Oryzias latipes: one gene and its partners. The protein of the gene in region 2 interacts with the protein of the main gene of each other region in a biochemical or structural test. Links are inferred from orthologs where the notes say so. Each region holds a gene or a part of one and is shown on either strand. Other genes may lie near its edges.

What was found.
Region 1: of the proteins of sncaip (region 2) and prkn, one has a biochemical effect on the other in vitro, tested with the Homo sapiens proteins (3 studies listed by BioGRID). The link is inferred for Oryzias latipes from reciprocal best matches to the Homo sapiens genes SNCAIP and PRKN.
Region 3: the proteins of sncaip (region 2) and siah1 form a complex in vitro, tested with the Homo sapiens proteins (2 studies listed by BioGRID, with this or other methods). The link is inferred for Oryzias latipes from reciprocal best matches to the Homo sapiens genes SNCAIP and SIAH1.

What each region holds. Positions count from the first base shown.
Region 1 is NC_019873.2:12,957,853-12,966,213, reverse strand, and holds the start of prkn (E3 ubiquitin-protein ligase parkin), read right to left. Parts: upstream 4,397-8,361; 5' UTR 3,901-4,396; coding exon 3,882-3,900; intron 791-3,881; coding exon 627-790; intron 218-626; coding exon 1-217. Other genes in the region: zinc finger protein 135-like, read right to left, coding at 5,794-6,619, 8,157-8,361. UniProt on the Homo sapiens protein: Functions within a multiprotein E3 ubiquitin ligase complex, catalyzing the covalent attachment of ubiquitin moieties onto substrate proteins. Substrates include SYT11 and VDAC1.
Region 2 is NC_019867.2:29,622,188-29,630,510, forward strand, and holds the start of sncaip (synphilin-1), read right to left. Parts: upstream 5,143-8,323; 5' UTR 5,047-5,142; intron 1,393-5,046; exon of another isoform or gene 905-1,392; 5' UTR 873-904; coding exon 816-872; intron 17-815; coding exon 1-16. UniProt on the Homo sapiens protein: Isoform 2 inhibits the ubiquitin ligase activity of SIAH1 and inhibits proteasomal degradation of target proteins. Isoform 2 inhibits autoubiquitination and proteasomal degradation of SIAH1, and thereby increases cellular levels of SIAH.
Region 3 is NC_019864.2:25,285,128-25,293,242, forward strand, and holds the start of siah1 (E3 ubiquitin-protein ligase SIAH1), read right to left. Parts: upstream 4,129-8,115; 5' UTR 3,206-4,128; coding exon 3,088-3,205; intron 1,579-3,087; coding exon 1,522-1,578; intron 1-1,521. UniProt on the Homo sapiens protein: E3 ubiquitin-protein ligase that mediates ubiquitination and subsequent proteasomal degradation of target proteins.

The DNA of each region.
Region 1 (8,361 bases), on a different chromosome or scaffold from region 2:
ACCTTTGTCCTCCATCCCCCATCTCTCCATCCTTTAGGGTACCTGTGAGGTCTGCGGGGGTGGCGGGGAGGCGTGAGGAGCTCAGGTCCAGCCTTGTAAGGCTCTCTTGCTCCTCCTCGCTGCCTTGAGGTTCCTGAAAGAGCAGCAGTTGAGAGGAGGACGATCTTGAAGGGGGAGGGACCACGTGAACGGTGCTCTGCTCTGGGAGGTCACAGCTCTAGGAGGAGAGAGAGGAGAATATGGTGTTTAGTTCTCAATATCACCTCAAAAAGTCTTCAAAGTACAACCTAACAAAGCTTCAGCTCAATCTGAATCTCCACAGGCTTTTATTTTGAAGGAGCTACAACCATGAGAGTAGCCTCAGATTTCATGACAGCCTCTGGTTTTTGAGGATATCTCCCTGTTTTCAAAAGGATCCACACGAAGACTTTTCAGAAGATTTCTTCAAATGTGGCGTCAAGACTTTATCATTTTTTGATTCATTCAGATGGTGTCTATCGGTGAACCTGCCTCCTAACGTTGAGATGTCCTGACCTGTGGGGCCAAACTGAGCTGAGTCGCAGGTTTCCTGCTTGGACACAAGAAGTTCCTGCGTCCTTCATTTTCCCAGCAGGCAGCAGCCTCACCTGCAGGGAGGAGGTGCTCTGCAGCTCCCTCCCAGCAAAAAGCACCCTGAGCTGCTCCGGGGGGACGCCCTGCTGACTCCCCACCACCTTCTTCAGCTCGGCAACACTCGCCCCCTCCTGGAGCTCCACGGCCACACCGGGGCCAAGGTTGTAGCGCACGAACACTGCGGACACAGCATGGAAGACTGCTATGAAATCTCATGCAGACACCATTCATGGAGATCACAGATCTTACTTATTGATTCATTTTTCAGCGTATCACACAGAAGTTGTATTGTAAATTGGTTTTCTGTTTGAGGGCATGACCTGTGTCACCTCTGCAAACAGAAACACAAAGCGGAGGGTTTAGATTTATAAACACAAGGGAAAATTTCAAACCATCAAACAAACCTGTTTGAGCAAAAGAATTTAAAAAACAGTTGTTCCACATTCCTGTGAATGACGAAGTTGTTTGTTATGGATATTGGTCGTAGTTTCCCCAAAAAAAAAAAAGTTATGGAAGTGTAGGAATTTCTGCCCACCTCTGAGTTCATTCCGTTTGAAAGACGACAAAACGTCAGGGGAACCAAAAACTTGAACAAAACGGCACTGTATAAAACAACCAATCAATAAATCAGTGAATTTTATCCAATCACATTGCACCTAGTTGGTGCAGCCACCTTCTACTAAATTTCCCTGAGGCTTTAAGAACCAACTGAGCACGCTCAAGTGCAACAGCCAATCAGATCTGGAGTTTGTAGTGCCAGGGCCAATTATAATGTGAGTGAGACATCTAACTGCCATGTGGCTGAGTCAAACCTCCTCACAGCGTTGAAGAATAAAATTCCTCAAAGACTGAGATGGTTCTACCTCCTGAGGAGAAACGGGAAGTTGATTTCACAAAACAGGAGTCTGATCAATATAAAATAATGTCATCTACTGTCATAAAACTGGGATTCCCTAAACTGTTTGGGTCAAAGAACAACAACTTCTGTTTTCTGAGTTAGTGAAAGAAAATTGGAAGTCATCCAAGACTTGAAATCTTTGAAACTACACTGAACAAAAATATAAACGCAACAGTTTTGTTTTTGCTCCCGTTTGTCTTAAGCTGATTTCAAAGATCTGAACATTTCCTACAAACACAAAAATAACAATTTCTTTCAAATATTGTCCATAAAATCCGTCTAAATCTGTGATAGTGAGCACTTCTCCTGAGATAATCCCTCCCACCTCATAGGTGTGCCATATCAAGATGCTTTTTCCTCAGCATGATCTTTGCACAAGTGTGCCTTAGACTGGCCTCAATAAAAGGCCAGTCTGAAATGTGCCGTTTTGCTTTATTGGGGGTCTGGGGACTCAGAAAGCCGGTCAGTATCTGGTGTGACCAACATTTACCTCATGCAGTGCATCTCCTTCACACAGAGCTGATAAGGTTTGCGATTAAGGGAATGTTGGCCCACTCCTCTTCAATGGCTGTGTAAAGTTGCTGGATGTTTGCAGGAACTGGAACACGCGGTCGTATCCGCTGATCCAGAGCATCCCAAACATACTCAATGTGTGACATGTCCGGTGACGATGCTGGCCACGCAAGAACTGGGATGTTTTTCCAGCTTCCAAGAATTGTGTTCAGATCCTTGCAACACAGGGCCGTGCAATATCATGCTGCAACATGGGGTGATGTTGTTGGATGTATGGGATACAACGGCCCACCGGGTCTCTGTGCATTCAAAATGCTGTCAATCAAATGCACCTCTGTTCTGTCTGACATGTCCAGTAAAGAGAATGAGTCAGGATTTATTCGTGAAGAGAGCACTTCTCCATGTGTCATGTGAGCATTTGCCCTCTCAAGTCGGTTATGACAACAAACTGGAGTCGGGCTTTAGCATCGATGAGGACAACAAGCATGCAGATGAGCTTACCTGAGATGGTTTCTGTGGAGATTTTTTGGGGTTTTGCGAACCAATTGTTTCAGCAGCTGTCTGAGTGGCTGGTCTCAGATTCTCTTGAAAGTATACATGCCACCTGACAATCTGATGAACTCTGTGCAGAGAAGATGGGTTGCACTGCATGCCGCAAATGTTGGTCAAACCAGATACTGACCGGCTTTCTGAGTCCCCAGACCCCCAACAAAGCAAAACGGCACATTTCAGACTGGCCTCTTTTTGAGGCCAGTCTTTTGTGCAATAATCATGCTGTCTAAACAGCATCTTGATATGGCACACCAGTGAGGTGAGATGGATCATCTCAGCAAAGCAGAAGTGCTAAATATCACAAATGTAGGCAGTTTTGTCAGCAATAATTGAAAGAAATTGTTATATTGTGTATGTAGAAAATGTTTCAGAAATTCAAGTTCATCTCATGACAAAAATGACCAATGGAAATGTTTTCTGTGCTTCATACTAGTGTTGGAAGCATTTTGACAATGCCATATTCTATTAGCTGCAACAAAACGTTCTAATCAAGTATGTCAAACAAACAGCACTGAGGCCTAAAAGAACATGCACAGACACAAGTACAGGCAGCCATGAGGTCATGGTTACCTTCAGCAGAGCTATGATATGGGAAATTCTGACTAAAACTCATCACAAATTATTCTGTTCAAACGCTCACAGAGTTGATCTGCAGCAGTTTTCTCTGGGAGTTTAGAAATGAATATTAGATTAGAGACAGACTTGTTAAACAAAAACTTGTGGATTAAGAAAGACGGCTTAAATAAAGGTTTAATGGCAAAATGGAAATCCAGAGCTGTGTTTTTACTGTCAGGATCATGTTATTTTAATGAGACAGTCAGAGCAGTATTATAAGACAACACGAATTTGTAAAAGTCTGTAAACAAACTGTATTCCTTTATTATTTTTACTGCTATTTTTGTGCATTACTTGTGGTGTTTGTGGTATTGTGCCAACTTGGAAATGTACATAAATTACAGAAGTGTCACGCTGAAGCGGATTTATTTGGGAAGAAGTAGACGGTCACATAAGGTTAAGCCAACAAACAAAACATGTCCGCTTGTTTTGTTAACAAAATTCTGGGAAATCAACCATGATAAATAACTAAGCAGCTTCAACACATTCATGTTGTGTATCTGTATGTTTACAGTTTAACGCCGGTGCAAGGTCCCGGCGTCAACCCAACCGACCCCATCTTAAACCCGCGCTTAATGTTGGCCCGGGACCGATCTAACTGACGGGAACGCGGACAGACCAGATAAGATCAGCGCGATTGGTCAGTCGAAGATATCCCGGTTTGGAACTGGGGACCCGGTTCGGAACTCACCGATCATCAGCCTTCTCATTCGCTAAGCATTCTGGGAGCTGTAGTACATTTTCTCCTATGTTTCCGGCGTCGGTCCGCTGTACAGTGTGACGTAAACAACACCGGAAGTGTATGTACTTAACAAAAAACACGATTAAAATTCAAACTCTGACGATGAATAAACTCAACAGCCATTCAGTGGTTGTTTTTGAAACATCTAGAAAATAGCAGCTGGTACTAAATATCCACTACAGTCGATCTTTGATCGGAAAGGTTGGATGACTTATCCATGTGTCCTCAGTGACAGCAGATCCTGGCGCGCGCTCCTCAGCCGGAACCTTCTACAGGATACAGATAAAGTCAGCTTGCACTCGATTATTTTGAAATATTGGCTTATTTAAAGGGTGTATGTATGCAGATTGTCTCCCATGTGCTCTATAGCTGTGGTTTGACTTTGGATTAACCTTTATGTTCTGCCTAAATTTAAAGCTGACTGGATCTACAATTGATGGTATCCCCAAAAATTCCCTGTGGCTCCGTGCTTCCATGTGTGCTCCTCCTGCTGGAGGCAGGAAGTAAAAACAGCCTGGATAGAAGTTTATTCCAAAGACGAGACAAACATGTCAACAGCTTTATTCTATTGGCAAACACGATACAATGAAAACCACCATCACCCCCCCACTGCAACAAACCAACACAACACTGGTCTAAACTGTAGACAGGAGAGGTGTCAGAAACAAAACTGGAACATGGTGGGAGGGACTGAGTGTTTTTGTCTCTTGGTGAAAGGGGGGGGTCATAGGCATTGAGACCAAAATAAATATGTCACCATTAAATTAACTCCAAGCCAACTCTTTTTCAATAACTGTTCCTGGGCGGGCACAGGAAAAGCTTTTATTTTGGTGAGAGCTGCTCCAAATGAACGTGGAGTCCAGAGGCTTGAACTGACCAAACATCTGTCCCAGTTCATCAGCATGCTCCATACACCGTGGCGGGAGCTGGAGAACACGAAGAACACCTTTATATGTGAGGAGGAGCCAATGCTGTCATGACAACTTTGTTTCTGGAACATCAGAACATTCCACCTTACCAACAGACGTCTTAGGACCCGACAAGATAGTTTTCTCTGAGGAGCGCCGGGACACATCCCTCGGACTCCAGCGTGGATTTCTGCTAGAAGCTTTTATTTTGAAGAATAGAACACCCATTTCTGCCTGCTGATGATTAAACTGTTGTTATAGTAACCAAGATTGACTGGCCAGCCAGATAACAAAGAACACCGTCAGCCAATCAAAACACAGCATCAGCAGCCTGGCTGGCCTAATCAGCCCAATCCACTGGAGCGAGGTAGGGAAAACTGCCAACAGGGACAGAAAGTTCTTCTGACCATCAATCAACTAAATGGATCAAAAGTTGGATAACTGCTCACGGGTCCGGTGTCGATGCAGTTTTGGACCTGCTCGTCGTTTAAAGGACCAGTTTTGTGGATGAAAACCACAGATGATCGATCCAATCGTGTTTCACAGCGGCAAACTGGTTTGATGATCCAGCTTCATTTCCCATGATGCCTTTGGGAAACGGCAGGTGCCGCCATACAGGTGAAAGGGAGGTAAAAGGGGAGGGCAATTGTGTATGTTTGAATCTAATTACATTACTCCATACGCAAAGCTAAGTGTCAGTTCTGACCATACAGGTGTGACCGTATGCGGCATCCCCACCTGATGACCATTTTAGGATATCCTGCTGCTATTTACACCAAAGAGGAAGAAACCATTTTCAGTTCCTGAGACCTGGACAACCAGAACGGGTCCAGAACATTTCTGAGTTTCAACTTTTTTCGAGAATTGGTTCCACAACACCCCGGAACCAGTCAATACTTATGCCTTATCCTCAAACCGGTCCAATCCAGTTCAGAGCAGGGGGGGTGGGGGAGTCACTCTGAGTCCGACTCGAGGGGCGCGGTTTCGTCCAGGATAGGTCTCTTCTGACGCTTTGCGGTGACCTGGCCGTCCTCGAGGTGGGCTTTCTTGTGACGTGAGAAACTGGACGAGTGCATGAAGGTCTTGTTGCAGGCTGAGCAAGTGTAGGTCTTGGTCTTTGAGGGGGGGAGTCCAGGCGTGGGGTGAAGCTGCTTCCCTCGGGCGCCAGCGCTCGTCCTGTGGGTCTGCTGGTGTCGTGCCAGACTGGAAGCGTGGCTAAACTGCTTCCCGCATTGGGTGCAGACATGGTGGCCCATTCCTTCTACGCCGCACATCTCGTCGTCTTCAGAGGACTGGCCCCGCCTGCCAGCCCGGCCCCCCCGGCGACGTCGGTTCTTCTTGCAGAGGGTGTAAAAGTTGGGCTTATCCCGTGAGCAGAGCTTTAGGCGGATCTTGAGGTCAGATGAGCTCTCACCCAGGTTCTCCTTGCCGGGCGTGTAACTGTCCAGCAGCTCTTTCACGTGGGTCACCTGGTGCTTGGACAGCTGTGTGGACGTCCTGAAGGTCATGTCGCACTGTGGACAGGCGTAGAACTTGTCTGTGCCATGGCTTTGGATGATGGCGGTCGCGACGTGCTGCTTCTTGGCCTTCTTGTTCTTGCCGCAGAGGCGCAGGGTGGCCACACCAGTGCTGAAGGGGGCGTCCTTGGGTATGCCTTTCCCCTTCTTGTGGATGAGGCGGTGGCGGGACAAGCTGGAGCTGTGGTTGAACTCCTTGCCGCAGATGTTGCAGGGGTGGATGCGCCGCTTCCCGTGTAGCCGCAAGTGACTCCCCAGCATCCTGCAGGAAAACAAACACAGATTACACCTGCAGCACTCAAGACTTCTTAAGCCCACAGCAAGCCATTGATACTCAGATTTTGGATTATATATAAAAAAAAGGGTTATCTTTTGTAATGACTAACAATACAAACAGCTTAAACACAAAGCATGGACGCCTGTAAATGTTCAGAAATTGGTATGGCAAAAAAAAAAAAAAAAAGATTTATAACCCACAGACATATAGTAGTATTTTATGTGTTGTTTTTGTGCAAATAGTTTTAAGGTTTTGCTCAGATGTATGCACTCCTGCTGAAGGGATGAAAGTGTTGGCAGCACACCTCTGCATCACATTAGTATTTGTCAGAGAAGAAAAAAAGAACATCACTGCAGTGGATTCTGATCAGTGTGTTGGTCTAATGGAGCAGTACATGCTGTGCTTTTAAGTTGAAAAGAATGCTGGTGGTACACTTTTATTTTGGGGGATAAAAAAGGAAGCTTTTTCTCTCTTCTTGGTGGGTTCTCAATTAACCGCTCACTTTTAGTCAGTGCTGCATTGTGCTGCATTCAGGTACCAAACAGGTGTGGGAAATTCCATATAGATTTAAAAACATTTAAAGGGCCTATATCATGCTGTTGTTAAGCCTTTCAGAGTAAAGTATGTCCATATTTGATAATATATTACCTTAGACAAATAACATTTTTATATGAACTACGAGTTATTTTGAGTTATTTTCAGTTGATTTTCCTACCAGGAAGTAGGACGACTCCATCTCTGAGGCACCGGCTTTCACTCCGTGCGGGTGCCGCTCATTTCATGACGTCAACCTAGAGTCGCCCATGAAAACAAACAACATCCGAACTTTTGCAAAGATGGATGTCCATATTGTGGAGCCTGGCAAGATGGTTTTGCAGATCACCACATGCTCCGTTTAGAAAGTGTGTGTGTGTGTGTTAGCTGGGGGCGGTGCTGGCAGCGAGGGGCTGTTCCCCACTTATCTACATGAGGATCCAATCGTTTTCGTGGGGTGGGAGGGGCTGTTTTTGGACGAATACTCAGATGTGTGAACGGATCAAAATACAACTTTGGGGTTTTTCTTCGTGAGGTATGAACATTATATACAATTAAAAGCTCAAAAAAGTTGATTTTGCATGATATAGACCCTTTTTTTACTCCCATTATTTTGAGTCATGGTGGTCTAAGTCACTCAAAAATCTATTGCGAGCCATTTATGGGCCGCCATTTGAAAAGCTCCACCCCACAAGAAAGACTGACCTGACCACCAGCTGATCACATGTAGGGAACCTTTAATAATCAGTCTACTCACAGTAACACAAGTGCCAAGCTTCCCAAAGGTAGAACCGGATAGTTTTTACTGAACCAATCTCTGCAAGCAGAACAGCTTTTGAGATCAGGAAACCTCCACAGACGCTGGAGGCGGAGCGTTTGGCACCACTGAATGACAGGCTGGGGTTCTGATGGGCGGCGTTTCTTATCTTGGAAAAACATATCAGATCCTCAGGTTAAACCCTCCCACAGAGGAGACCTGTGTACGTACCGGCTGCCTTTAAAGCTCATCCCACAGTGGGGGCAGGTGTAGCGGGCCTCTTGGTGGGCGGGCTCTAAAGCTCGCTTGGCGGCAGGGGGTGTCCCACCCTTGCCAGTGTGCGTCTGCTGGTGGCGGTACAGGCTGGAGGCGTGGCTGTAGCTCTTCCCACAGAAGCTACAGCGGAACTGCCGCTCCACTGGCTCGTAGTCCGCCT
Region 2 (8,323 bases):
GGGAGGAGACGGCGTACTGCGGGACAACGGGGGGTGCGAGCAGTGAGACCCTGAGCTCATCATATAAACACCAAGCTGCAGGAATTAAACGGGCGAGGAGAAACCGCTTCAACCCTAGTGACCCTTCCTGTGACCCCGCTATGATGTCATTTCCTGTCTGCACGGTCATAAGAACACAAGTGTTGTGTGCAAATCCCTTCACGACTCACAACATATCGCACTACATAGTGCGTTTGACTTTTTGTAGTGCTTGTTTGGATCTACAATTCGAAAATCGAGTGTCTCTGCGAAAAAACTAGTGTGCATCGATGCTCACTGGATTAGCGAATATAGACCACAATGCATTGCGTTTTGGCCAAAAGAATGTATTTAAATGTTTTTTTTTAATAAACCAACCATTTAACCTTCAGAAGATAGTGGATTCATAAATGGTCATCGCAAAACCTCTTTAACAAACAATTTCAACTTCGTGAAATTGATGACATCATCATCACTGTTAAAAAAACAAAAAAGTAGTGACTGAATTGCTTTTAAAAGTATATAGAAAAGTATAACTACAAAAATCTCTTAACTACGACCACCTGCTGCACGCCCGTAGAAAAAATGTGCATGAACATTTTCTCTCTACGGGCTCACCGAGTTGTCTACGACTGAAGTTTTGTGCGAGCCCCCTGTGTGCCCCCCCCCACGGGTTTGACAGCATGTATCCACCCATAAGAGCAGCTGGGACTAAGGTTTAAGAAAAGCCCATTGAGGTAGAAAGGTGTGGGGAAGACGCCGGTTGAGTTTGTGTCGTTTCTGCTCGAGATACTGACCACTGAATCATCAGAGAAGTCGATCTCATCCAGGTCCAGGTACTCAGGAGGCTCCATGTTCCCACCACATCGTCAGCCTCACAGCCAACCTGCACACACACACACACACACACACACAACTTTCAGTCAGTCACCTCTGAAAAACACACCCACTCAGCTGCGATCCAATCTGCAGAAACAGCAAGACAGGAAGTGGGCGCAGGAAAAAGCAGGATTCAATGTTTGGGCTGAAGCAAGCTTCTGCACAGAAAACCAGCAGAACATGAGGAAGTGAGTCACTTGTGTTTTTGGGAAAAGGGGAAAACGGCGCCTTTGTCCTGGAGCTAAACCTGAGCTGTGCTGATCAAAGGCAGCTGACAGGATAATCAGGATTAGTCAGCGTGACTCCCTGTCAGAGCCAGAACTGACTTGAACCAAGCAGCAGCCATGGACCTGCACGCTTCCCAGCATGCTTCACTGACCCGACTTCAGAGCATGCATGGTTACAAAAGAACAGAGTTCCCATCTTTTCTAGAGTCAAAAAGCTCAGGTCAGACCCCTGCTGACACACAGCTCAGGTTTCCCAGCTCTTATTTTTTATCTCGACTTCTCATGTATTAAAATCCACCAGCTTTAGGAATTTCTAGCCTCTGACTATGGTGCTGATAGGACAGAGGAAAGTTGTTGCTCACTGATAAACTACCAAAAATCTTATCTTTTTGGGTTCAAATGTTTTTTTGTTCGTTTTCATTTAAAGTTCAGAAAACTTAAACCTTTTTTTTGTCTCCTAAACACATCAAAACCCCTTTTGGGTCCGGCTCAGATGTGACCCAAAACCCTGAAGTCATGTTGGGCAAATAAACTGATCTGAAGCCATTGTTCACTTCTGACGCCATCTTGTTGACATCATCAAGCCCCAACTGTTCCAAAAGAAACAGCAAAATGGGCGGGACAACCACACCTGTCAGTTGCCAGAACCATTGACTATACATTTGAGAACTGGACTGTGTGACCCCTCCCACCTCGCTTTCCAAACAGGAAGTACCTGCTGGCTCCAAGAAGCTAAAATCCTGTAGACTTCTAGAAGTAAACAGCTGTTACTCAGTCATTTTATTGGTCAGAACACCCATTCTTGCTCTGATACCTGTTCTGGATAATCCTCTTTTTTCTGTAGAGCAAGTTATTCGAGTCATAAACTGACCAATCAGATGCCTCAATAATAGTACCGTTAGACTGACAGATTCTCCTTAGCCCACTTTCAAGTAGAAGGGGTGTGGCTTTACAAGAAGCTCACTCCTGATTCGCAAGAGTGGTGGCCATAAAAACCTTGACTCAGACCGGACCAATCGCCGCTCACTGTCGTCGGCTGGCTCCAACGTGGCGGCGTCCGTAACATGGAAAAATTGGGACTTAATTGAATTCCTTTGGTTGGTGACGGGAGTAAAGCATTTTTAGTGGGCGTCGTCACACTCAGTCCAGTTCTCATACAGTCAGCGGTTGGAACACGCCCAGAGAATTTGAAAGTTTCCGATCAATCAAGTAGCCACACACATTTGAGAGCAGCATCAATAAAAAAATAAATAAAACAGAGTTGGTAGAACATAGAAATTCCCCCCCAGTGCAGCGGTTTTATAAGTCTAATCACATTCTGAGCCAGACTGTTGGGAACGGAGAGCCACAAGCCCCCTAGAAGTAACTCAGTGAACTAATCTGACTACAGTTACTTTTTCTTTTAAATCATCCTCAACAAAAAAGGAAACGGTTGCCGCTGGGCTGCAATGAGCCACTGAACTGTAGCATATAGAGAACTGGACAGAGCGAGTGAGACGTCACCCATAGAAAATGCCTCACCTCCGGCTCCAGCCCAAATGAACCCAATTCTGTCGCCATTTTTCTGCGATACGGACACCGCCATGTTGGAGCCAAAGGACAGTGAGTGGTCTGTCTGTCAATCAAACATTCCAGGAGGGGGCCAGCGGGCACCACAAGCCTTTACTGAGGCATCTGATTGGTTAGGTTATAACTTAAACAACATGCGATAAAGAATCATGAATAGATCTGCACATAAATCGCAAATTTATTGTTATGGCGATATCAAGTAGTGCAATCAAATATCGCAAAAGACGGTAAAAATTGCACTAAATGGTTACATTAAATGTGCTAAAACAATCTTATGAAGTAAGCTTGAAGTATTTAATGAATCAAAAAAAATCCATTTATGCATTTGACCAATGGATGGACGGATGAACCCTCTTCACGACGTTGACCAATCGCACGAAACCCTTTGATGTTAGATGTTCCCCTCCTGTGTGGCCTTGGGTCATTTGCTGTATAATTTAAGTTATTTTGACTTTTTAAATTAAAACTGTAGCAGTGAATTGGAAACGATGTTTTTGGTTGCCCTGCCATTTGTTCATGTATCGCAAGTTATATCATCATCGCAATGTTGATCAGTAATATCGAAAATCGCGAGTTTTCCTCAGATCGTGCAGCCCTAATCCAGAACAATAGAGTGACTGAGCAACAGCTGATTATTTCTCTATTGAGGTCTATGGGATTTTAGCAGGTCCTTCCTGTTTGGAATGCGGGGGCGGGGGCACTATGTCCATGTAGTAATGAGATGTTGAATCTCCCGTTCCATCATGTTACATGAATGCAGGCTGATGTGTTCCTCACACGACATCCAAACCCAGGTCTAAGCAGGAGGAACCAGTGTTCCTCTGGACAGCCATGAAGAACAGATCCAGATGAGAGGAACCTGATGGCTGATGGGGCAGAGTTCTGCTCCTGAACGAGGTCCAGATGTGCAGAGGAGCCTACAGCTGCTTTCATCTCTCTCTGGAACAGATCTGTCAAACAGATCCGCCCTCTGGAAGCCTCATCCCAAATAAAACAGTCTGCTTTAAACGCACAGGTCTTCATTGAACCGATCCACGGCTCCCTGACAGCTGGAATCGTCTACAGACGAGAGTCAGCCTGAAAAAACGAATCGTGAAGTTTGTTTTTTGTCAAACTAAGATCCACAACCCCCCTCCCTGGAGAATGCTTCATGCCTCCTTGTGTGGAGCTGTTTTTGGACTGCGTGGGAGTGAGCACCCAACTCAGCCGGGCTAAATAAAAACCCCAGATTGCAGCTCTGCGAACCCTCTGAGCTCTAAGTCGGGGGTGACGGCGTTAGTGTGCACGTATGGGGCGAGCGCTCGTCTGCTGTTTATGTCAACACCTGATCCTTTAAGGCAGAAACAATAAGAAAAGAAACAAGGGGGGGGGGGGACAAAGAAACGTCAAAAGTGAGGCTGCACGCTTCTCTGCTGAGATGGGGCCAAACCCCTCCCAGAGCCAAAAATGAACTCCAACTCCCAGCAGCTTAAGATTCTGTCATGCAAAACACCGCAACGCTGCTCCAGCACACCAACATGAGTAAAAGACCGCTGCAGAGTTTTGACAGACCTTAGAGCACAAAGTTTCATGACGACCAGAGCTCCTCCAGAACTACCAAAGACACAGAGGAAAGAGGAAAAGCTCTGCTGCTTAGCGAGGATCCACCACATACTTCCAAGTATTACATTAGATTAACATGTATGGAGGATTACATTGGATTAGGATGGATGAAATGTGCGCTCACACTGTTTTAGGATGACTTGAATATTGGATTAAACTAGGAGGAGGTGGATGCTTCTTCTAGCCTCCCACAGTTAATAATTGTGCGCTTGTTAGATATTATTAGATTAACATGAAATACATTGAGGGGTTTTCATTATAGCTTATTAATTTAAATTTACTGTACAAACACATTTAATTGGAGCAAACAAACACAGAATGGAAACTGCTTCAGTTAAAAACACGTTAATTATGTTATTAATTAAATAATAAAGCATGAACAAATATGTAATTAAACTCCGGACTGTTTGGTTTCAGCAGAATTCTAGACCTAAACGGTCCGGTCTGGTCCGCCCTCTTGGTCCGGCTCCCTGTATACCAGCTTCTCACCTGGAGATAGAGCTTTTCTGTTATTACACGTGTGAACTCAGAGGGGGGCCGCGCGCCCCGCTCAGCTGCTTTAATCCTCTGATGAGGCGGCGCGTGCAGCGGCGCGAGGCTCGTTAGCTGAGCTGGCTAATCAGTGTGTTAGCAGGTTAGCCTGCCAGGTAGCGGAAAAACTAGGTTACACGTGGCATTCTGGTGAAAGAAACAAACAATTTGGGTCGGAACCGGGAGGCAGACATTCCCGGTTCTTTAAACAGAACAGTACCTTGTTGAGGTTCGAGGGCCGGAGCGGCTTGCAGAGCTGATCCAGCTGTTTTTCTCACAAAGACTCACAAAGAGCGTGATGTCACAGCCTCCGAGAGGATGAGTAGAAGAGGTATCACTCTGCGTGGATTTCTGAGAAACATACCCCAAGAGGAAAACGATGATTTTTCCAAATTAAGTTTTATAAAATAGGAAAAATATACGTGATACTAAAGCAACGTTGTTTATAGGTGCTGTATTTCTTGTTTGATTTTTTTTTTTGTTTGAGCAAAAATAAAGAACGTTTTATGTTAATTGAGAAAGAGTGCTATGCGGAACTCAGTCAGACCTCTTTTTTAGTTTGTCTTTACTCATTCAGAGTCGAAAGTGTTTCAAGTGGGCTGCAGATACATTAATCTAGGCTCTCAGGAAGTGATCAACAGATTAACGATATAGCCTGTAAATTACGACCTTTGGTGAGATCTTCCTGAAGGCTGCGTCCTGTTTCTATAGACGATCTGTGCAGTTATTTGATCCCGTTATTCTTGAAAACCGGAGCTAATGGCTCCAACTGTGATCTAGACAGATTTCCCCTGGTGCAAAAAACACAGCAATAAAAAAATAACACAATTTTGTACTCTATAAAGTTGATGTAAATCCACCTTAGTGTACATTTAACCATTTGAGATTTCTTTAGGTAAAACAAGAAAATATTTGTTCTTTTTGTTTGCTTCAGGAAAAATAAACAATGATCAAACATTTTGTAATACTAGAAATTCTCATATTTTTAAAAACCCACATCCACAGCATTTGAATAAAGCCATTAAAGCTGAAAGAGGCCACATAAAACAACTCTGACATGGCAGAGAAGATAGTTCTCCTGCAGGAGAACCATGTTCTCTGCCTTTGGCTTACAGCAGCTGGGATTGGCTCCAGCAACCCCATGATCCCGTTTAGGATCAAGCAGGATGGATGAATGGATGGATGAAAAAACACAAACATATTAATGCTTTTTAGAGCTCCAAATGCCACAATAACCATTAAAACGGATTAAAAATAGAGAATCCTTTGAGTACCACATGAGCTCTGAAAGCAATGATTAAATTCCTGAAGAAAACGTTTAAAAAAGCAGGAATATAGAGAAAAAAAACCAACATAAAAAAGAGTAAAGTTTAAATCTAAATTACTTTATAAAAGGGAAAAAAAAGAAGAAATAATTTCAGGGTAAAATGGATGTAAACCTTGAGTACTGAAGCCTCAGCATTGAATACTCTCATGTATGTGTGTGACAGCTGTTACAATTTTCTTAGGTCATCTGCTTTAGACTTGAATCAAACCACACAGAAAGAATGCAGGTCAGGGTCCAATCCGTCCAGTCAGTCCAGTCCAAACATGTTTCAATTTGACCAGAAGATGGCAGCAGTGCTCCTCATTAGTTACAAATGACCTCAATATTTGTTGTAAATGAGAGTTTTTATCAGCTTATGAATCCAAACATAATCTCTCTATTATAAAATTAACATCACATAATTGAACAAATGAGTAAATGGTGGATCGAATTATTGCCTTTAGCAGTTTGTCCTCCTGAAAGTCTGACAGAAACGTCTTCAAGAAGAAAATCCGCGTTCACTCAGTGAAGGAGGTTGATTGACAGCTGTCTGAGTTTCATCCTCTAGCCTGAGCGGCGTCTCCTGGGTGATGTCCATCCAATCCTGACAGGACTGCCCCCCTATCAGGAGGTTATTGCTCTAAAGTGTCGGAATCAAGGTTGGTATAATAAACTAATCTAAACTAAAAAGAAAAAACAGGTCTGATCAAACATTTTGTTTGAATAATAAAAAAAAAGAAATAGTAACGTAAGTTGGGAAAATAAAAAAATATTTAAACAATAAAAATTAAAATTAAAACAAGTAAATCCACACTGGAAAATCCAGAAATTAAACTGAATTAAAAACAAAAATTGAGTTAATAAAACTAATAGAAAAATAAAAAACTATATTAACTCTTCCAACACTACTTACAATTAAATGATATTTTCCAAATAATTTTATAGACCAGAAACAACATAAATAATTGGCTCATGCTGGTCTTTTTGCAGCTGGTTGTGGATCCTCTGCCTTTAGCTTCATTCAGCTCCTTTTTCCTCCATCAACCTGTTCTCCTCAGGAGGCCTGTCAGCACATTAATGTCAAGTCAGATCAATCAAATTAAAATCCAATCCACATAAAACTCTGCAGGAGCAGACACCTGCAAAACACCCTCCATCTGCTCACCTGAAACACAGGTGAAAGATCTGGAGGGCCATATCACATTACTGCCTACATGTAGACATATGCGCTGCGTTCCGGCTCTGCTTCAGTGAGTGAACGGGTGGGCGGGGCATGTGAGGAGGGGCTGCCAGGTGTGTGTCAGGGAGGGGCATGTTCATCATATTTTCTGAGTTGATCTTTTCTTAAATGTTATTTTTTCTAAATAATTAAGACTTGATACATGCTATTGGTAAATTCATTGTTCAGACAAGCATTAACACATGAAAACTGGACCAAAACACCTTTGACAAAAAGGGCACTTTGGGCATCTGGGCAAAAAGGGCAGGTGCTTGAGCACCCCCCCACCCTCTCTCTCTCTCTCAATTTACCGGTCAATCTTCGTTCCAATAATCACCTCTGGTCATGATTTGTGAATCATGACTTAAAGAACGAGGTCCTGAATACAAGTTCTATTGGAGATTAGGTGAGAATGTGGATGATTCCTGGACCCCTGCCTGGGGAAGTGTTCCAGGCATGTCCTTCTAGGTGAGGGTCCCAGGAAGGACCCAGAACACTGGAGAGACTACATCTCTCAGCTGGCCTGGGAACGCCTCAAGATCCCCCCAGAGAAGCTGGAAAAGGTGGCCGGAGAGAGTCTGGGCAACTTGACAGACTGTTGCCCCCGCAACTGGATCATGGATGAGCGTAAGAAGATGGATGGATGGATGGATGGATGGATGGATGGATGGATGGATGGATAGATGGATGGTGGATGGATGGATGGATGGATGGATGGATGGATGGATGGATGGATGGATGGATGGATGGATGGATGGATGGATGGATGGATGGATGGATGGATGGATGGATGCCCAGATTTTCCTCAGCCCCCTTCACTCTGCAGGGGAGAGATATCTTGATCTGTGACTTTATGTTCGCTATGATTCTTGTTTATTACACAGTTACCAGTATGAAGCCCACTGAGATGACTATTGTTGTAAATATTGGGCTATACAAATAAAACTGAATTGAATTTAAATGAATCCCAGC
Region 3 (8,115 bases), on a different chromosome or scaffold from region 2:
GACCCGGCAACAAGGACGGTGGGACTTGTTGTAGCAAAAGTGTTCCAGGGTTAACAAATGATTTATTTTAGAGACAGATGACTAAAATGAAAAACAGTGAAGGAGAGATAATAAAACGGAAGAACTCCATTCATTCCAGCTTTAAAATGGTTCTAAGCTTAAACATTTTGTTAAGGCATAAAAATCAAAAGCTACAGCAGAAATTCCCGTTTTTTTTAAGTCTGGAATTAATTGAATCCTCGAGTATAAGAGGAGAGATTTCAGAAACATGTTACCGCCGTTTACGTCAGTGTTTCAGTCAAATGTTTTCACTATTTGACAAAAAATGTTGTGTTCAAAGTTTAGCAGTGATGTTGTGTCTGTTGCCTTGGGAACAGCACAGTTCTGTGCAGATGTTCCCTCAGATGAAAGAACAGAAAGCAGAGATGAGGATGCTACTGTTAGGGAAAAAAAGATGCAGACAGAATGATGAAGGGATGCTCGCCGACGTCCATCAATAAAAATCTCAATCAGATTTGTTGATCACTTGATTAGATTTATGTACCACAAATGCTTGTTTTTTTTGTTTCAACATTCTCGTCAACCGTAGGAATGTTTCTTTTTCTTTTTCTACACTGAACATAAATTCCAGCTCTGTATTTGTTAATAAAGTTCGAGGCTCTTTAAACACTCAAGATCTGTGTTGAAAAGGAGAAAGACATTTATTTACCCAGAAGAACTCAGACCACAGAACACATGTCTGATGTTTTCTGATGTCATCATGGTTTATAGGGATGAAAAATCCTTGAACATGAAGTTAGCTAATCAGTTATTATTAGCATGCTAGCAGGAGCAGTGGGACTGATTTGGCTTAGGATGCAAATCTCTGACGTGCGTGTTGGGGGGGGGGGGGGGGGGGGTGTTTACAGACGGCACACAGAAGGGAAACCTGAGACGGTGCCTCCAACATGTGAGTGACAAACACTCTGCAGAAGTTTACTCCAAACAGAAGTTCTTATTTTAGCCGGACAGAAAGCGTTTGTGTGAGGAGAACGTTCCAGTGCAGCGATGAGGTCACACGCTGAAACTCTCTTCTGCTTGACAGCAGAGAAGAGTGAAAAGACGTTGGAGGGAGAGGTTTCAGTTATCAAACATCAGATTTCTGGGAGGCACTCAGTGGTTCGGCTTAGGTGGGTTGACGCAGGGCCCCGTTTCTGGAAGGACCTCGGTCGTGGGTCCTGCTGTCGGGGCGTTTTGGCAGCGAGGAGCTGAACAGTGTTGGATAAACATAGCATCACTTGTTCAGTTGGCACGCCCGGTGCCAGCTGACGAGGAGCTGCCAGATAAAGACGGCGTGGGCCGGGCCCTGCAGCGGGACGGCTGATCAGCCCGACAGAAAGGTCTGAGCCCACACACACAAAACTACAGCAGACATGGGAAAACCAACAAAGCTGCCATCGATCCTGTAAATGTAAAGCAAATCCCCAACAGATCCACTCAGACACAGACAGACAGACAGATTGACAGACAAGACAGACTGACCTTCGTCCATAAGATTTCCAAATAAGGCTTCTGTCTGCTCCTGAAATGTTTGGACCTCTGAAAGAGAAAACAAAGGAAGTGCACATGAGAACCCGACAGGCTGGTTCTGAACGTTCTGCTTTGTTCTCCAGTCAGACACAGAAGTGGGCTCGGATTGTTGTGATGTTCCGGCAGACGTGAGGGCCGGATGGCGCCGAGGCGGTGTTTGATGGGCAGGACACAGAGCGTGCTCACTTTAGATTTCTGCTGTGTGGACGCTTTGCTGCAGAGCCACTCATTCATATTTCAGTAAGTCTGGTCCATTTCTGGACTAAAGGTTGACGAGTGAAACCCGTTTGTCTTCAGCTGAACAAAATCTACACAAAGCAAATTATTCCTGGACACGATTGCATCACATTTGATTTGAGGTTTCTGTTAAAACGACGTACAATGTCTCCTTCTGTGTGGAAACAGAACTCGCAAACACAGGAAGCTGCTTTTTGAAACTAAAAATTCATCTCCACATAAACCGTCTCGTCTACAAACATAGGCAGAAAACAGGGCTACGGTGTGGGAACAGGTAGACGGATAAGACCATCGATGGTTCGGGGCGTGAAGGTGAACACCAACGATGAAGGAAACCATAAACCATAAACATCTTCCTGTCTTTGTTCTGCCAATGGTTTGGTTGCAAACAGACCAAAAAGTCTGTTTCACCAACAGCTTCTGCCTCCATGAACCTCATGGAGGCTCAACAATCTTTAAACGCATCGCAAAAGAAAACCATTTCCCTTTTAGAAGCTGAAGAAATATAATCTAGAAATAGTTTCATTAATTAAGAGATTGGATATTTTTCTCAAAAGATTGGAAATTATTATTATTTTTAATTGATGTTATTTAAGAAACCAAGCAGAAACCTAAATACAATGTTGAGTAAATACAAATTGTACATTTTTTTGTATATATTGAATCCTTCAACTATGTGATGAATCTTTTGACAGAAAACAAGAACATCTTTTGTGCATCACAGAGCGAGAGGCGGAGCCTCAGAGATGGAGTCGTCCTACTTCCTGATTGGAAAAGAACTCAGGAAAATAACTAATATTTAATTTTAAAAGAAATGTTCTTTTGTGTCCCAAAATATATCATCATATACATGGATATATATATTTTTTACTATAAAAGGCTTAAGAAGAGCCTGGTATAGGCCCTTAAAGGACCAAAACATAAACACACAAAATGAATATTTAAAAAGCAAATTAGTTTTAATAAATGTTCAAAAGTGCTATTTGTGAAGAAAACATTCCCGTCGTTCCCTTTTCTCTTCTATGATAAGAAATTAAATATCCTGAATGACAAAACTAAACAGAGGAACATCAGGACAGGTGAAGGGGGATTCAACACAAACGTTAATCCACGTTAAAACAGTGCAACATAATGTACGCAGGGAAACGGTTAAAAGCATCTTCTGTGCTCGCCCACGTCACGCACAGCATCGGTGTGCCAACACGGCCCCCTGCACACAAAGTGCCAATTCAAGCCACCTTGGGCAGAAACATGGAGCTGGTGAGGATCGACGCGCTTCACCTTTAGTGTTGTGCACATTCCTGGTTGCTACGCATGAGAGCAGCCTGAACAGGGAGTTCCAGGGTGGAGCTTGTGGAGCTACACTTGTCTGCTTGGATTTCACTTGGACCACAGACATAGAGGTAAAGCATGTATGCAGCCCCTCTGTGCCACGCTGCTCAGGCCTTTTCCATGGAAACCACACACTGCTGCTGGAGCTCTACGCATTCCTCCAAATACTGGATCATATTTCCCCTCCTGCCACCCCCGCCCCCGCCCCCACCCCTCTCCCCTTGGAAAGTACAAGCTTCTGAGCGGCTGGAGTTCTGCAGCAGATCCAGAACGAGGGTTGTGTCCAAACAAACACCAGCAGATCCTTAACAGCGGGAAAACGTCAGAGTCCAGGGTGTTTGAGCGACTCCACTGCAGAAGCAACAGAAGGAGCCCGGACAGCAGCCAGGCAGGCTAAAGGGTTAATCAACTCGCCAGTCTGCACAGGAAACGGGAGGCAGTTTAGGAGAGTCATTAGAGCTTCACCAACACTGGGTAATTATCCAGTTTCTCCACTCAGGAACTATTTGACATTCCACGGGGCGGTTGGTTAGCAGGTATAGAAAGAGGAGTCAAAAAAAAGTGCAAGTTTGCAAAAGAAAAATCCTCAAAACAAGAGAGCCCCAGCTCAGAAACCTAACCTTGGCTCCCCGAGAGGAAATGAAAGAAGAAGAAAAAAATCCAGTGTGAAGTCTCCCCCTTCACTTTCTTCTCGGTTTGGATTTCAGTGATGTTCTTTGTCCTGGGGAGCGTGGTCGGTGTCAGCGCCACTGGCTGTGTTTGTCTGAAACACAGAGCTAAAGTCCGCATCCAGCGCGAGTCTTTATCTTTGTCTCTGCAGGCTCAGCCCTCACATGTCTCAGCTCAGCTCCAGCTGCATCTCCCTGCTGCTCCTGCAGCCTCGTGTCCTCTGAAAGCCTGCAGTTTGCCTTCTTTCTCCAGGCTGGACATTCTTCCTCCCTCTGCCCCCTCCCTCCGCCTCACTGTGGTTGTGCAAGTCTCAGATTTCAGCTGGTATAGCTGTAAGCTGCAGCACCAGCTGACCCCTCTGACTTCATACCTCCTTTCTCCTTTAGTGCAGCCCGTTTCTCCTCTGTCCACGTTTTAAATGTGAGCCAGAGAACACAGGGCTGCGTTCTCTGGCTCACATTTGCTCTTCAGCATAACTTACTTACACACTCTACAGCAGCGTCTCACCTTCTCAAAGTGCTCTTCCTGTTTTTGAGAAGCACTCTAGGTATGTGAAAAGCTCGCTCAGCGTTTACCGTTCGGAGCATCGATGCTGAAGATGCAGCACATCCCAGAGTCAACATCTGCTCACGAGAGGACAAAGAGGAGAAGCTTTTCTTTGTGCTTCATTTCCACATGGACCAAATCTGTGGAATTCCTTGCCCACCGTATGCTAAGCCGGAAGGATTTTTTCGCCCCCTCAGACTCAGTTATTTTCACAAATCTGATAAGAGATCAAACACGTCTGCAGCTGCATCAAAGACGGAGCGTGTCTGCTTTCAAAATCTCTGTCTGGATGTTCAGGCAGCAGTTTTTGGGAGGTCTGCAGTCAAACCTGCCAGTGGCTAGCAGACAGTGTTGTGAGAAAACAATTCTCCTGCTACATCTTAACATCTTGGCTTCAGTGCACATTAAAGTTTCCTTTATGCCAACGCAGAAACCCTGAATTCTGATTTTAAGTAATACTTTTAACAAGACTGCATTAGCTTAATCTAAAAAAGCTTTTTGAACGTGCCAACTCTTTTTACAAATTCAGCTCTTAAGCTAATATACAAAAAAAAAGAAGCACAAAAGGGACTAAATGTCATCGACACAGCAAGTTTTCATAAAGTTCCAGCAGGACCGGAGAACTCTGTAGAACATCAGCTGTTCCCTCGACCAGACCACTCATAGGAACAACCTGACTCCTTAGGTTGGGGGTCTCTTCTGGGCAAAGGGTCACTTGGTACCCAGACACAGAAAGAAAAAACAAATTTCCATTTTAGTCATTAGTGATTTTGAAAGCCATTTCATTTGGGAAAAACTACCAGATTCTCTCCGTGACACTTTATGCATGTAAAGTCGCTCGGTCACATGTCTTCCTACATGTGTGACCTTCCTAAAGAAGCCACTCAGGCGGTAAAACCAAAATAACCCCAAGATGACAAAAGAAACTCAAACCGAATTATTTGGACAATTTCTGCACAGTATAAGAATCAGAGAGATGACTTCAAAAATCAACAAGAAAGCTGCATTTAACAGATAATATCAGGAGTCTTAATTAAAATATGGATTTATTGGGACAGGTTGCTCTCACGCAGTGAGCCCTGTCTTATGTTACAAAGACACTGCTGATAAAATTGGACACAGCAGATTCCCGTTTATTATTATATTTAGAAAATATTTGTTATGGTGGTGGTCATATGCAACGTTTATTTATTCATCTCACCTTCAAGTCCGGTCTGTGGTGTAAAACTGATCAGGGAGCGCTGCATGGAGGTATTAAACTGAATCTTTTGATACTTGATGGTTCCTAAAAAGTATCTCAACGTCTCAACGTAGATGACCCAACAATGCGTTGAAAGATGTGATGCTTCACTGGAGGTGTCAAAAGTTTTTAATATGCACACTACGGCATGAGTGAAGGGAAAAAAAAGCGCGTGCCAGTGGCGTTCATTCATCCGTGATCTGCTGAAGACAAATAATCAACCAGCTGTTTATAAGAGTGAAAATGTCCTGACTCATTCATGTGTGACCTTTTGATTAAAAATAGTGTTTAAAGTTGCTCCAGAAACCTGTCATTTCAGTAGCAGCTAATATTTTTTTCAAAAAAAGATGCTTTTTGTTTGTAAATGTCACTGATTCTATTCCTTAGTCCAGCAGACTTTAGTCAAAACCAGTCAAACGCTGTCATCTACCTGCTGATTTCTAATAGTCTGCGTTTGGATTCTTATAAATTCAAAATCTGAAAAAAACAAACAACTTTTCTCCAGGGTTTGTGCATGTTTAAACCCCTTAAATGTTTGTATTTGTAAACTGTTTAAATAAAGTCTATCAAAAGGAGGCAATGAAAACACAAACAAACAAAAAAAGATGGAAAAATCACAGACTTTTCTAACTTTCAGGAGAGATGTGTCATTGTTAGGCACATTCATTTGCTGATGCTTTGCTTCGTTTCCCATGTGTCAAAGCTCGCCTGAACTCTGCTGCAGATGTAGGAAGTGAACCCTGGTCTCTGCTCATATGAGGGTAAACTAAAGTATGAATGTGAATTACATAAGCACCGTGTAAGGAGTAGCAAAAAACTGAAGAAGTGGGCCTCTCAATAAATCTAGAAAATGTCTTACATGGTAGAGGGCTGCATTGGGATTGGGTCCCGCCGGGTCCCGCGGGACCCAATGCAAATCTCGCGGGATTGGGCGGTTTGAATTGTACTGCGGGCGGGAGCGGGCGGCGAAAAAAACAACTCTGCGGGATCAGTTTTGCCATGAATATCTCATGAATATATAATAGTGGACTACGTTAGGCTGTGCGGCTGTTGGAGTCTTATGTACTGAAGCTCCGTGAAGGCACCAGGTAGAGACGCCCAATGGCCACTTTCATCTAACCTGTTGTTGGGGGTGTGCAGCGCCCCGCCCCGCCTCTTAGAAATTGTGTTCTTTAAAGCCTGATACCGCGGTCGCGTATGGGCGGAGCTAACAGCTAAAGTTCTGGTCTGATCGCTGCATGGAGCGATGTGTGCATCAATGATGGTAGACACGAAGAATGTGGAGAGATCAGGTTTATTATTTTAAAGAGTTCTGCTTGATAATCATGTTTCCATGTTTGAGTTCATAGAATCATCCCAGAGAAAGTCTCTGCTTCAACTCCTGCAGGGAACGCTGCGTCTGAATCTGACGCCGTGTTTCCATCTCTCTGACAGAGTTTGAAGCCAAAGCCCCTCCCCCGCCTCTTTACCTGCTTTTCCTCTCTACCTGTTCACCTGTTCACATCCTCTGCAGCTTAGAGTTATTTTCCCCGCGCTCCCAGTGTGGCGCAAAACAGCAAAAACGGGAAAAGGCTGAAGCTAAAAAAAAAAAAAAGTATTTTTCCGTCAGGAAAAAATTAATTCATAGATTTTCAGCTCTGTTGAACCATTACAATGTTTTTCTTCCTGCAAATGACTTTGACCTGCATCTATCCCAGCTGGTTCAGCGCGCTTCAGGCCGTCTGTCTGCGCGTGGACACACGCACACTTTTTTTTACCGAACAGGATTTGTGAAAATATATTTAATGATTATGTTTCACATTACACTAAAGAGGAATGCATGAAAAGATGAGACTGGAGGAGGGACATGAATCTCTTTAATAATATCAATAAAAATACGTGTTTTTTTCTGCGGGACGGGAGATGATACAAAATCAATGCATCTATTACTGTGCGGGACTAAATTCTATGAGTTTTGCGGGTGCGGGCGGGAGTGGACATACATATTGCGGGTGCGGGCGGGAGTGTAACGCATACGTTGCGGGAGCGGGCGGGATTGGTCAGAAATTTGGCGGGTGCGGGCGGGAGCGGGATGAAGAAAATAGTCCCGCGCAGGGCTCTATTACATGGTACATGTGATTTTCTTTTTTTTGAGGGGGGCAGTAATCTCTACTTTTCTTCTTCACCGCCTTTAAGCAGCAGAAACTCCCACCTGAAGTCAGAACAACCCACAGAGTGTGCACCTCACGTTCTAAAACCACTAACTAGAAAATATGAACGATCTAATAAAGAACTGAATTATTGTAAATTCCTTTAAGCTTCAGCTTCGTTAACCTTCAGCTTTTACAGTGACGTTTTCAAAGAGCTGCAGGAAAATCCGGAATTTCTAGGTCAACAAAATACCTAAATGCATTAAAAGAAAAAGTCAAAAGAAAGTAAGGATTTAAAGAACCAAAACAATAAGATTTTCTTTCACTTTCCGCAACAGAACAGACTACCAGCTGCACAAACAAAACACCTGTAACACTGCAGACAACTTTGCA